Schizosaccharomyces pombe: one gene and its partners. The gene in region 2 interacts genetically with the main gene of each other region. Each region holds a gene or a part of one and is shown on either strand. Other genes may lie near its edges. The genes, in order: rtf2, lin1 and spf38.

Region 1 (3,565 bases), on a different chromosome or scaffold from region 2:
TGTTTTTCGTTGCTCTTTATTTACTATCTTTTACCCCACGTACTCCTCCCAAACTTGGCTACTTACCAGTTCCTTCCTTCATTTATTCGACTGGAGAGCTCCCTCTTTCCTATCCGACCCTTCTAGCCGTTTTATGTGGTCCTATTTGCCTTGCCAAACAAATTATTAACGTTGTTCAGCTGGTGAATGCTGCCAATGCCTTGGTTAAAATGGATGTTGAGCAAAGAAGGGCTGCAAAGAAGCTTCAATAAACACAGGGTTATCCTATTTTCATATTTTCTGTTTACCAAATTTTCTATTTTTAATCAGGATGGTTTCAATCTGAACATCCTCGACCTTAGATCTGCAAGCTTACTTTGTGCATTCTCTTTGATTTTACCTCTTATAATTCAATACCTTTTTTTTGACATTTTCTCTTTCTAAAAGCCTTAATTCTATTGGGCTAAGCACTTTTGTGTTAAGCTTAGCCTTTGGGATTATTTTCTGTCACCTTTAAAAGCTTGGTTGGAGTGATTGCACTGATTAATAAAAAAATGCATCCACAACGTGAAGCCATTCGTCGAAAAGCTTATTTAGAAATAGAATGCTTTACTTATTTAAGCGATATAACTTTCACTTTACTTCAATAAATTTAATCGTTCGTTGCATTAATTTAAAAACATTGTTTATGATAAAAAAATCCTATTTAAATGTACATAGTAGATTTTTTTTTAAAAGATAAATGTATGTGTGTATTAATTTACCCATAAATAAAGCGTCCCTCAAATCTTCACCCTTTTTACACGTTCCATGTCAGTTACACTGGTCTCAGATTTTACGTTTTCTCCATCCAACATTCTATTTGTCCGCAATTCATGCTTAGCGTGCTTGCTATTTGATTTTGAAACATGTTTTCGTTTTTTATCGCCGTTTTTATTTGATTTCTTTGAAGCCTAAGTATGTTAGTCATTGCCGAATTTTGAAAATTCTGTGAAGTACCTTATTTAAACTGTGAGTCTTTTCAGATAATGCGAGATCAAGAAGGCGTTTACTTAATGTTTTTAATTGCTCAGCATTCGGGTTGATGGGAATAACGTCTTTTTCCTCGTAGACCTGATTACACTGATGTTGTGTTAGCAATAACTCAAGGGTTGGAAATGCTTTTCTTAGCTATCGATAGACTTACTTGAAAACACATTTTCTCGCCAAACTGCTTCAAGGCAGAGTATTCAAATACATGACCGCAAGGCACTATGTAGGCGAATTGGTATGTATCAGACATTACATGTCTTGTAATCGGGCATAACCATAGCACTTTACCGGAATCATCCAGCTCAACTTGAAGTTGTACCACGTCTTTCAGTGATTTTATATGAGAAGGGCTTTTCGGAACACTTGACCTATCTAACAGCATTTGTAAAATGCTTGCTTTGTTATACAGTTTTCCTAAACCACACGATACAATTGGAGGGTATAAGGGCTCATCCGTAATGGCACACTGAGAAAATTGAGAAGATTTTACAGAACGTTTAAAGTCTATATCAAGCGGCGGTACTTTGCCAGGCTCTTTCACTAATTCGTTTCGGGTTGGTAATGATCCTCCTAAAACATGTTAAAATTTAGAAGCAAAATAAACGAATCCTACCGTCATTTCCCATAGTTTACTTGTGTGTATTAAATATTACAGAGTAGTGTTAAGTAAGCATATTTCAAAGAAGCGCTTACATTCCACGACTGCATTTACTGCATTCTACTATAATGCACTAAAATTAAACGTTAGGTTTCGTTACGCAAGATATACCGAAATGTCAAATACAATTTTCGCTTCAATGATCTTCGCTTATTTTTAAACCTTATTTAAATTGCAAACATTTGTGATGGGAATACGTAGTTGCGTTAAGGACTTACGAAAGTATACACCAAAAGCAGCAATTTTTCTTCTACAACAGCTGGTTTGTAGGTTTCAACTACGAGTTAACTGCTTCTTTCATACATCTAAATCAATGTTATATGAAACATTTTGTGAAATCCGAAACCTCTTACTCTTAGTATCCAGTTGAGTTCGAAAATTGGTACTGAGTAGCTATTAGTATTTTAGGCCCCTTTACTTACTTTTGTTTTTGTTAACTTAGATTTCGGACCCTTTTTTTTTTATTCATATTGAACCTTTTCCTTTTTCTTTTTCAGGTCGTGTTAAATGTCGAAAACTGTTAATTTTAGGGCAACAAAAAATTTCTATTTACAATTTGTGAGCGTCAGTTCTCGGGATACATCTTGTATTCCCTGCATCCACTTATTTTTTGATTCTAAGAGGTATGTATTTGGAAGCGTAGGGGAAGGTTGTCAAAGAGCTATACTCTCCCAACAGCTTCGATTATCAAAGATTAAAGATGTCTTCTTAATGCAAGGATCTTCAATATCATCACCAGATACATATGATTCTTCTTCTTCATCGTCTACTACCTCTGTTTCTGATATGCTACAGCTGGATGATCGGGACAAAGTTATTGTATCTGAACGTAATAGTATGTGCTCGACTGTAAACTATCCTACATGGTGGGATTCTTGTGGTGGGTTTCCAGGTAAGTGTTAAATATATTTAATAATTTCTGACAATAGGCTTTTTGCTGTCTCTCAATGATATTTCGGAACCTGGGGAAACCGGAGAAGCTAGTCCTTTTGTCCTTCATGGACCTAGTGAAGTTCATCAGTTTTTATCTTCGATGCGGCATTTCACTTATCATACGAATGTAAATTTAACGGTACAGGGATATACTTCGGCTGAGGCCCCAGTATTCGTTGATGAAAATATTTGTGTAACTCCGGTAGTTGTTTCACTAGTTAAAAATTCTTTTAAAAAAAGGAAGCATGAAAACATTAACAGAGGTACAAATGCAAGACCATTAAAAGAGGATAGAGCAAATACTTCTCCTCATTGGTATTCTCACGTTTCCAATGATACATCATTCGTCGTTGAGAATGCAATGTATAACACTCCGGCTCCTTTGGAACCAGACAAGCCAGAGCTGTTTATTTCTTATATTGTTCAATCCCATCCTACCCCAGGGAAATTTGACGCCGCAAAAGCAAAATCGCTTGGTATCACGAAAGGATTAGACTGTGGTAGACTCGCTCGAGGAGAACCTGTAACTCTTGAAAACGGAAAAACAGTATATCCAAAAGAAGTGATTGGTCCTTCTATTCCTGGCTCCTCCTTTTTTATTATTCATTGCCCCAACGAACTCGTAATTGACTTGGTCATTGAAAATCATAAATGGACAAATGCACCTAAACCTGTTTGTGTCATTCATTCGGTTACACCAGAAGTATACAAAAATCCACGTTATCAGAGCTGGATTTCTTCATTCCCAAGTGAGGTGAGCCATCTAATTGCTTCGACTGAAGTAAACGAAGTAATAAATTATCCTAGGAGTGCAGTCGCTATTGCAACACTTAATTTGTTAGATTCAAAAGTTTTTCCTTTAGGCTTTAACTGCTATGAAGTTAAAAATGTACAAAAAAACAATCGAATTGCTTTTGCCAAACCCAAACTGCGTTTTGCGTTTGGAAAAAAAACTGGTATTGA
Region 2 (4,149 bases):
AGTTCAGAACGTAAATCAAATAAAAAGTCCTTCGCTAACACCACATAAAAACAGGAAAATTGCACGAAATTTTTAAACTAGGACGAGGACTAATTCTATTAAATATACAATTAGCAAAAAAAAAGTGGTTGGGTTTGGTTTGGTTAGCTTCGTGCTACGTAATGTCAACATATAGTGAACTACATTACACTGTCAAATTCGTTGTTGATATATGGATAAATAAAAACGAAGAAGGTTGGTGTGAAAAGTAAATAAAAAAAATTGATAAAATATTTTACACTAAATTTCTATTATTTTCCTTGCATCTATATTTACCTTTTGTTGCATTTAAAGGCATCAAGTTTACAAACTAGCGACTTTAAAGAAAATTTGGTGAAGGTAATTTTTCAGAAGCTAATATTACTAAACGGGAATGACTGAATCAATAAGCGAAATAAATTAAACAACTGTTCATCTTTTTCGAAATTCCCATTTAGTACCAATTCTTTTAGCAAACGAATTCTATTAATTGACTACGAGTTCTATCTACTGAAGATATAGTTTTCTACATTTGAGCATGATTTAATGCCCGAATAGAATTTTGACTAACAAATAATTATCGAGTCAAAGAAAAAACTGAAATCTAAATGTTGACCAATTGTGGTCCACTTTTTTCCCTTTTTTCTGCAAGACAAGTTCCTATTCCAAGTAAAATAAGTTTCACTAACTATTATAGGTAGCTTAATCAAGCAGTTTTTTTCTCAGCAGCCTCTGCAAGCCTAGCTTGCTCCAATGCCTTGGCTTCAATGTTAAGTTTTGGAAGGATAAATACAAGAACAACAGAAGCTAAGGAAAGCAACATCATTGGGCTTTTTAATAAACGTATCAGGGAAAACTTTCTTGGCTCCTTCAAATAATCGCGTTTTAGAACAGCACGGACTTTAATAGGATAACTAGTATTCTTAGCGGTCGAACTAGCTGGACGTTTTTCGGCAGGCGAAGTATAGTAAGGGTAGACGATCGACTCATTGATTATGATGTGAAATTCGGAGAATTCATAGTCTATACTTTCTAACCGTAAGAAATATATTTCATCAGGGACATTGGGAAATGTAAAACTACCATCTCTCTCCACTACTGTCTCAAACGTTTTATTGCTAGAGATCAATCTGGCTCTGGTATCATAAGACAATAAATTAATCTTGGGAAGGATAGTATTGGTTAATACTTTTCCATATACTTCAGCTTGTAACGATTGCTGAATGCAACCAGCAAAACATAAAACCGATAACAGCAAAAATGTGTGTAATTTCATTTTTTTTAATAGATAAAGAAGGTAGCTTTCAAAAAATTGTGAGACAGTAAAGAATGGATGTCCACGGTTGAGCAGGGACTATTGAATGTCAATTATTAATTTTCAAACAGGGTCAGATAATAAACGAATCTTGAGGTTTAATAAGAAAATAATAGATGAAAGAAAATGCGCAATTTAATAAACAAGAACAGTTTTCCGAACTTGATAAGTCACTACAGTGTTTGCTTTTAGATGAATGACCTTACTTCGTGCTCCAACAGTTATCAGTAAATAGGATAACGAAAAATAAGAAACTATGGGATTCCAAATACCACACTTATACGAAGCTTGTTATATAGTAAGGTAAATAGAAAAATAATTACATATTTGATAACAATGCAGATATCTTAAAGATAAAATGCAAATTAAATGGAAAAAGGTCACTCCATAATAGAATTTTTTGAATTGAATGAGAGCTTGATGTCTTATTTTACTGTTATACAGCGAATCTATACCAAGTTTCACATGCAATGTCACTCTCAGGATGATACCGTTCTTACGTACGGCGATATTATTATATGATTTTGAAATTGTAAAATTTCACGTTTGTTTTGTACATACAGGATTAATTTTCAGTAGTTTTTTATTTTGAAGAAAGAATCAATAATCAATATACTACTGGTATAACGCACAATCACTTATTCGTTGTCAGTAGATAATGCTTCATCTCTTTATTTTGCTAAACGTTCTTTAACAGAGATGTTTTCAGCTACGTAATTTTATAACTGCATGTAAAAAAAATACTATAGCATGAGGATGAGATTATTATTCGTCGTGCATTATTTTTTGGTAATATTTATTTTTGTATAATCATTTTATTTTTTCTATTGTTTCAGATTTAACACTTAATAATCTTGCACTCATAACGAGTTCGCAATTGCAACTACATTTTGTGTGAACAATGAAGCGTACGCTCAGAAACCCTGGCAATTCGAGTACAGTGGGTGATGTTCACGATGTTTTTTTTGAATACGATGTAAGCAATGTAGGGAGAAAACGTCCTAGGACAAAAGAAGAGGGTATGCAAATTCATTTGTTGATTTCTGTCTAACATTCAATTCACAGGATATTATGAATCTGAATCTGAAGAAGATGAAGACCAAATTCTGAATAAAGAGAAGAAGGAAGGGCAATCGGAAGATATGTTTTCTGATACTTCGGAAGATGAGAAGCGTACTCTGCCAAATGATGAAGCGCAAAAGCGACGTGATTTCATTGAAAATGGCGATGCTGAAAGATTAGCACATAAAGGTTTGCGAAATAAAGAGGTTTTGAACGACGATTCTGATGATGAGGACGATAACGGAAAGTATTCAAAGTTAAGATATGAAGATATAGAAGGCCAAGAAGATACAAATCAGGCTAACGACCTCGACGCGGATGAAGAAGGCAGTGAGATATCAGTTCCCTCAAGCCCAAAACGAATGTCCTTTAACTTAAAAGAAGATATGGAGGAGGGTGATTTTGACGAAAATGGTAATTTCATACGAAAAAATTATGACCCAGAGTCTCAGTATGATGCATGGCTCAATGGCAGTGTTTCTAATAAAAAAAGCATTGCAGCAGCCAGAGAAGCGGAGCAGAAGCGTAAGGAAATGGAAAACAGAAGAAGGAATCAAGAATTGGAAGAATTTAGTAAACTGCCTTTTTCCACGGTTCCTGAAGCGTTATCGTTTTTTATCGCAAGAATGGAGAGAGATGAAAGTATTTTAGAATTTTTGCAGAGACAAAGTGGTAACAAAAAATCGTATAAGAAAAAGAAAAATAATACCGCAGAGGGCATTTCTCCTGAAAGGAAAAGTGCTGACGCTTTTCGGAAAAAATTAATAGAACTTATAACTGCTGGTCTAACTTTTCTAGAGGATAAAATTGGAAAGGAAGATATATACTCGGAAACTAGAGAATCTCTTCAAAGAATTTATCAAAAACTCACGTCAAATTCATGGTCTTCTCCTGTTAGTTACGACGACTCAAATTCTTCACAGTACAACTTTAAGTGGGAATTTGACGATAAGACGTACGGCCCTTATACCGCAAGCCAAATACAGGCTTGGAGTAATGAAGGTTATTTTACGGATGCCAAGCATGCAGCATTTATACAATTAGCAAATATGGATGAATGGATGTATCCTAACAATATCTGCTTTTGCGATGTAGTTTCTTTAAAGAAATAGTCAAAGTGGATAATAAACTATTTTATTTCATTATATAACAGAACTTATAGCTTGTACCTTTGAATTAACGGAAAACTATAATTCGATAAATAAGTCTAAATTAAACTTGTCTTGCAACCTTTATAAAGACTTGCTATTTAATACTTTCATATTCTTAACTATAACAAAATATTCGTCTTTAGTGCTTTTAATCTTCCTGCATTGCAACTGCATTATCTTGTGCACCTGAAGCCGACCACTCATTTTCGGTTATGTAATTCTTTCCGTATTCCTCTAAATATTCAACACTTCTTTTTTGATCCAAAAATAATTCGTAAACACGTCGGATATCGGACTCCTCAATCGTAGCACTTTTGCGCTTCAAAGCAACCTGATTAGATGAAGATATAAGAAGTAATGCGTAGCGAAGACTAGTCTCCTGACCAATAGTGGAAAGGTAATCTAAAGCTGAAGGCTCCATATCAACATCTTCTTCTTGACAGCGAATCTTCAAGATTTCTTTTACCTCTTCATGGGAATAGGGCAATGTAGAAATAATCAGCATACGATCTAACAAATCAACTGGAATGCCATGAGGGGAACGATAATTTGTACCTCGAATACGAGTAATTCCTCGATTAGAAGCCATAATAACGATAGGAG
Region 3 (3,900 bases), 2.9 Mb from region 2:
AGCTAACCATATGAAAGCAATGCTAGTTGAAGTCCCGTCAACACAACGTAGAACACGAGCAGAAATAAAGTTATAACGTTGAAACAAGTATTTTATATCATTTTCAGACACTTCTGGATCAATGTTACTAATGAAAAGCATATAGTAACTAGGTTTTTGCCATTCAGGAACCACATCTAAAGAGATCGGGTTCCCAGATATTAATCGTTGAGTAGATTGCCTTTCTAAAGCATTCCTAGCAGCATCTTGACTCTCAAATTCAATGCAGCAAGTTTTTAAAATAGCTCCCGACTCGCCATCTTCATAATAGTTTACTTTTCTAACATTTTCAAAAATTGCTCGAATATAGTCCTCATTCATCCATTCTTCTAAGTTATTTAACCTGTTTAATTAGAAATAAGATTAGATGATGTATCATTACCATAAAGATGTACTCATAACGCATATAATTTGATAATTAATCGAAATCTAAGAAACTTGTAGTTATAGGAATTATAACAGGCTTGACAACTAAGATCGTCAAATAATAAGTTCTACAGAAAATTTTAATAGTATTTAATGTTTATTGAAAAATTATTCATGAAATAAAAATTAATTCAATTCCCCAAGAAATATTGTTCGATCTGAGGAACATGAAAGAATGATGTCCTGATGTGGATGAAAGTCAACGTGATTTACTGAACCCTCATGTCCGGGTAATACATAACGTAAATCGCCTGTGGCTGACCAAACATATACGTTTTTATCAGAGCTACCAGCACCAACGAATCGTGAATTACGACTCCAGGCAACACCTAACAAATTATGCTCCTGTCCGTGAATAGCTCCTTCAAAAATTTGCAACTGTCGTTGAGCAGAAGCAAAAGGTTTTACATCAAATATTCGAACTATAAATTAAAATAGCATTAGTACAAAGGTTGATCAAACACCCAAAAAAAATTAGCATACCCGTGTTGTCCATAGAATTAGAAAGTAAGCTAGATCCATCTTTAGATATAGCCAAACTAGTAATGATATCTTTATGCCCTTTCAGAACATGCGAGCAGTGATTGTTTCGTAAATCCCAGATTTTAATAGCTCCGTCAATACCACCGATAAAAACTTGGGTTCCTTGCTGCGCTATTGCGACAGCCGTTAAGGGATATTTTTCTTCTATTGTTTTTATGCAGTCTTTTGACCGCGAGTCCCATACCTTAAATTTAGTAACTATTCCATATTTTAATAACAATATCCATACCTTCATAGTACAATCATCACTTACAGAAGTCAGAAGTTCGGAACCAACTTTTAAAACGTCTAAAGCATTCACCACGCCAGCGTGGCCTTTATGCTTCCGGATTTTTTGACCAGAGACAGCGTCCCAAGACATGAGGTGTGTATCGGAGGAAGAACAGTAAACTACGCGTGAATCCCTGCTCCACTGTAAATCAGTTATGGCTCCCTTGCAGCCATTTAATACTCCGTAGTTTTTAACGTCACCAAACACATTCCAAAGAACTAAACCACAGTTATTATAAATCAACATTTTAATTACAGCTGCACTTACGTATCTGTCTATCCATACCGCCAGAAGCAAAGTATGATCCAGAAGGATCGAACCTGGCGACTAAAACTTCAGCCTAAAGCGTTAGTATGATTTATTTCAATACAACCATACCGTATGCCCAAACATCTGTAGGTTTGGAACATTGAGATCAGATGTTCGTTGCAATACAGAACCCTCCGTTATTAAGCTAGAATCTTGGATTCTAATTCTTTTAACCTATTTATATTAGTGCATGTTTTTTTAGCAATCGAACATACTAAATGTCCATTAGTCGCACTCTCCGATTCCTTTCGTTTATCCATTTCCAGTTTACTATATATAATAACTGCAATTTCTGATTGACAGTTTTCAGAATTAGAACGTAAAATGAATAGCAGGGACGGGAGTGGAAAATATATAAAACGGATCGACAATCGTCGCAGGGGTTTCTGTCACAACCAAAATACCAATAAATCGGACTTTTCTTTGGTGTTCAAATAACGAGGAATGATGAGCTCATTCCTATAAACAGGACTTAAAGTAGAATTTATATGAACAACATTTTGATTACAGGCAAAATCCCTAAAAATTTACCCTTCTCATGGAAGCCATTTAAAATTCGTTTAAACAGTATAAATAAATTGTAAGAAATATCTATTCCGTATACTATATACAGACCTTGTTTGTGCTTGAGGAAAAACACTAGTATCAATTAATGTCTTATAATATTTAACGAGCGGCTTTAATATCTAGTCTATCTCGATTTTACCACCATCAAAAACACTTGAGAAGCATTTTGCCATTAGCTAAAGATGCGTAATCACATTTTTTTTGGGTATAGTTATTAACAAATTTTTCTACTTAAAAATTGTATGTACGGTTTTCTGGGCTGAATTGTCTATTCTAGTCGCCTCAAAAATTGAAATATAAACAACGAGATAATCACTGATTAGGTATAACCGCATACAAAATTTCATAAACTTTCTCCCGTCGAATATATTTGTACTTTAAGAAATTAATTTTTGATTAATATCAAAATCCATAATTCTACAGGGAATCTAGCATGGCAATAATAAAGGATTATCCAGTAGATAGTAGTTCTAAAGCCGGATTATAGCATTTGCAATGAAAGAGAGAAACTAAATTTTCTACTTGATAAAAAATGAATTATAGAAAACTAAAATGTGGAATATGTGAAACTAAACAAATTTACGCAAAGCTTCCAATCTTCATGTAAGTACTTTCTAAAAACTTGTAGTGCCAAAATTAAGCATCTTGCTTGATTTACTGAAAAACACAATTTGCAACTAGTTTTCGAATAGTGAACACATTCCAAAATCTTTACTACTAAAAGCATTTCTAACAACTTTAGAAAATGATAATATGAGTTCCAGTGCTTAGTATTTACATCGCTAACTTATGTAAAAAGCTGTAGATATGTATATTTTCCAAGGCAAGGTAAATAAAACAAGAATAATTGATACTATCTACATAATTACAGCATTCTTACAAAAAACTGCGGCTAATAGTATTCTTAATTCATTATGATGTTTTTACGGATGAAGAAATATCAATTTACATTTACTTTCTAAACCCACCTATCCCTTAATTCCACAGTTTTCAGTTAGTAAGTTTGCATATATAAAATCTGAAATTACCACTGGTTGATTCATTGAAAGTATATCATCTTAGAACCATATTTTAATATAGCCCATTTTAGATAATTCAAATCCGAATATATACATAATAACTATTATTAAAAATGTTTTTAGAGCATGACTTGCCTTGGAAAATAAGAAACCTCTATAGAGTTTTACTCTTCAAGGGTTTTGATTTACTCTGTAACTAAATTCAAACATAACATTTATGATTTTATGATTTTCAGTAATTGATAGAAAACTAAAATGAAAATATGATATACAAAATGTTGCGGTAGTATAGCGTGCGCAGATCTTTAAAATTATATATCGCCAGCGTGCATCGTTGTAGATCCATATTCTCGTTCGCAACACCTAACTTCTGCACATTTCTAGTTTATGGCTGATCCAGGTTTAAGGTCCGGCGTCGGATTGCCAAGCCAGCAAGGACAGAAACATGATTTACAAAAAGATCAAAAACAACCGCACGTAAATAATGCCGATAGGACCACACAATCCTTACTGAATTCGTACATATATGATTATTTAATCAAGAAGGATTATTGTGAGGCAGCCCGAGCTTTTGGCCGTGAAGCACAAGTACAAACGCTCGTCAGAAGTCAAGAAGAAACCAATTCCTTAGCTAAGCGTCACAAAAGAATGTCTCCTGTTGCTGTAAAGCATGAAGGTATAAGTAATAATGAATCTTCGGATGAAAACATGAATGTAAATAACGGT

What was found.
Region 1: mutations in lin1 (region 2) and rtf2 together harm fitness more than expected from each alone (negative genetic interaction), as found in Schizosaccharomyces pombe (one large-scale study listed by BioGRID).
Region 3: mutations in lin1 (region 2) and spf38 together harm fitness more than expected from each alone (negative genetic interaction), as found in Schizosaccharomyces pombe (one large-scale study listed by BioGRID).

What each region holds. Positions count from the first base shown.
Region 1 is NC_003424.3:651,598-655,162, forward strand, and holds rtf2 (DNA replication termination factor Rtf2), read right to left. Parts: upstream 1,676-3,565; 5' UTR 1,638-1,675; coding exon 1,625-1,637; intron 1,582-1,624; coding exon 1,166-1,581; exon of another isoform or gene 1,102-1,165; coding exon 979-1,101; exon of another isoform or gene 933-978; coding exon 762-932; 3' UTR 628-761; downstream 1-627. Other genes in the region: phosphatidylinositol synthase (CDP-diacylglycerol--inositol 3-phosphatidyltransferase) Pis1, read left to right, coding at 1-251; 3' tRNA-processing endonuclease tRNAse Z L2 Trz1, read left to right, coding at 2,177-2,561, 2,599-3,565. UniProt on the Schizosaccharomyces pombe protein: Putative splicing factor that is required for the correct splicing of a subset of pre-mRNAs. Required for the correct splicing of rtf1, a replication termination factor that mediates site-specific replication termination at replication barrier RTS1.
Region 2 is NC_003423.3:1,525,051-1,529,199, reverse strand, and holds lin1 (U5 snRNP complex subunit LIN1), read left to right. Parts: upstream 1-2,083; 5' UTR 2,084-2,234; coding exon 2,235-2,352; exon of another isoform or gene 2,353-2,398; coding exon 2,399-3,507; 3' UTR 3,508-3,623; downstream 3,624-4,149. Other genes in the region: protein Emc7, read right to left, coding at 725-1,294; chaperone, AAA family ATPase Rvb2, read right to left, coding at 3,695-4,149.
Region 3 is NC_003423.3:4,402,509-4,406,408, reverse strand, and holds spf38 (U5 snRNP complex subunit Spf38), read right to left. Parts: upstream 1,980-3,900; 5' UTR 1,849-1,979; coding exon 1,804-1,848; exon of another isoform or gene 1,763-1,803; coding exon 1,658-1,762; exon of another isoform or gene 1,620-1,657; coding exon 1,547-1,619; exon of another isoform or gene 1,498-1,546; coding exon 1,238-1,497; intron 1,193-1,237; coding exon 949-1,192; intron 888-948; coding exon 592-887; 3' UTR 523-591; downstream 1-522. Other genes in the region: U1 snRNP-associated protein Usp109, read right to left, coding at 1-382, 422-438; adn2 (transcription factor), read left to right, coding at 3,562-3,900. UniProt on the Schizosaccharomyces pombe protein: Involved in mRNA splicing where it associates with cdc5 and the other cwf proteins as part of the spliceosome.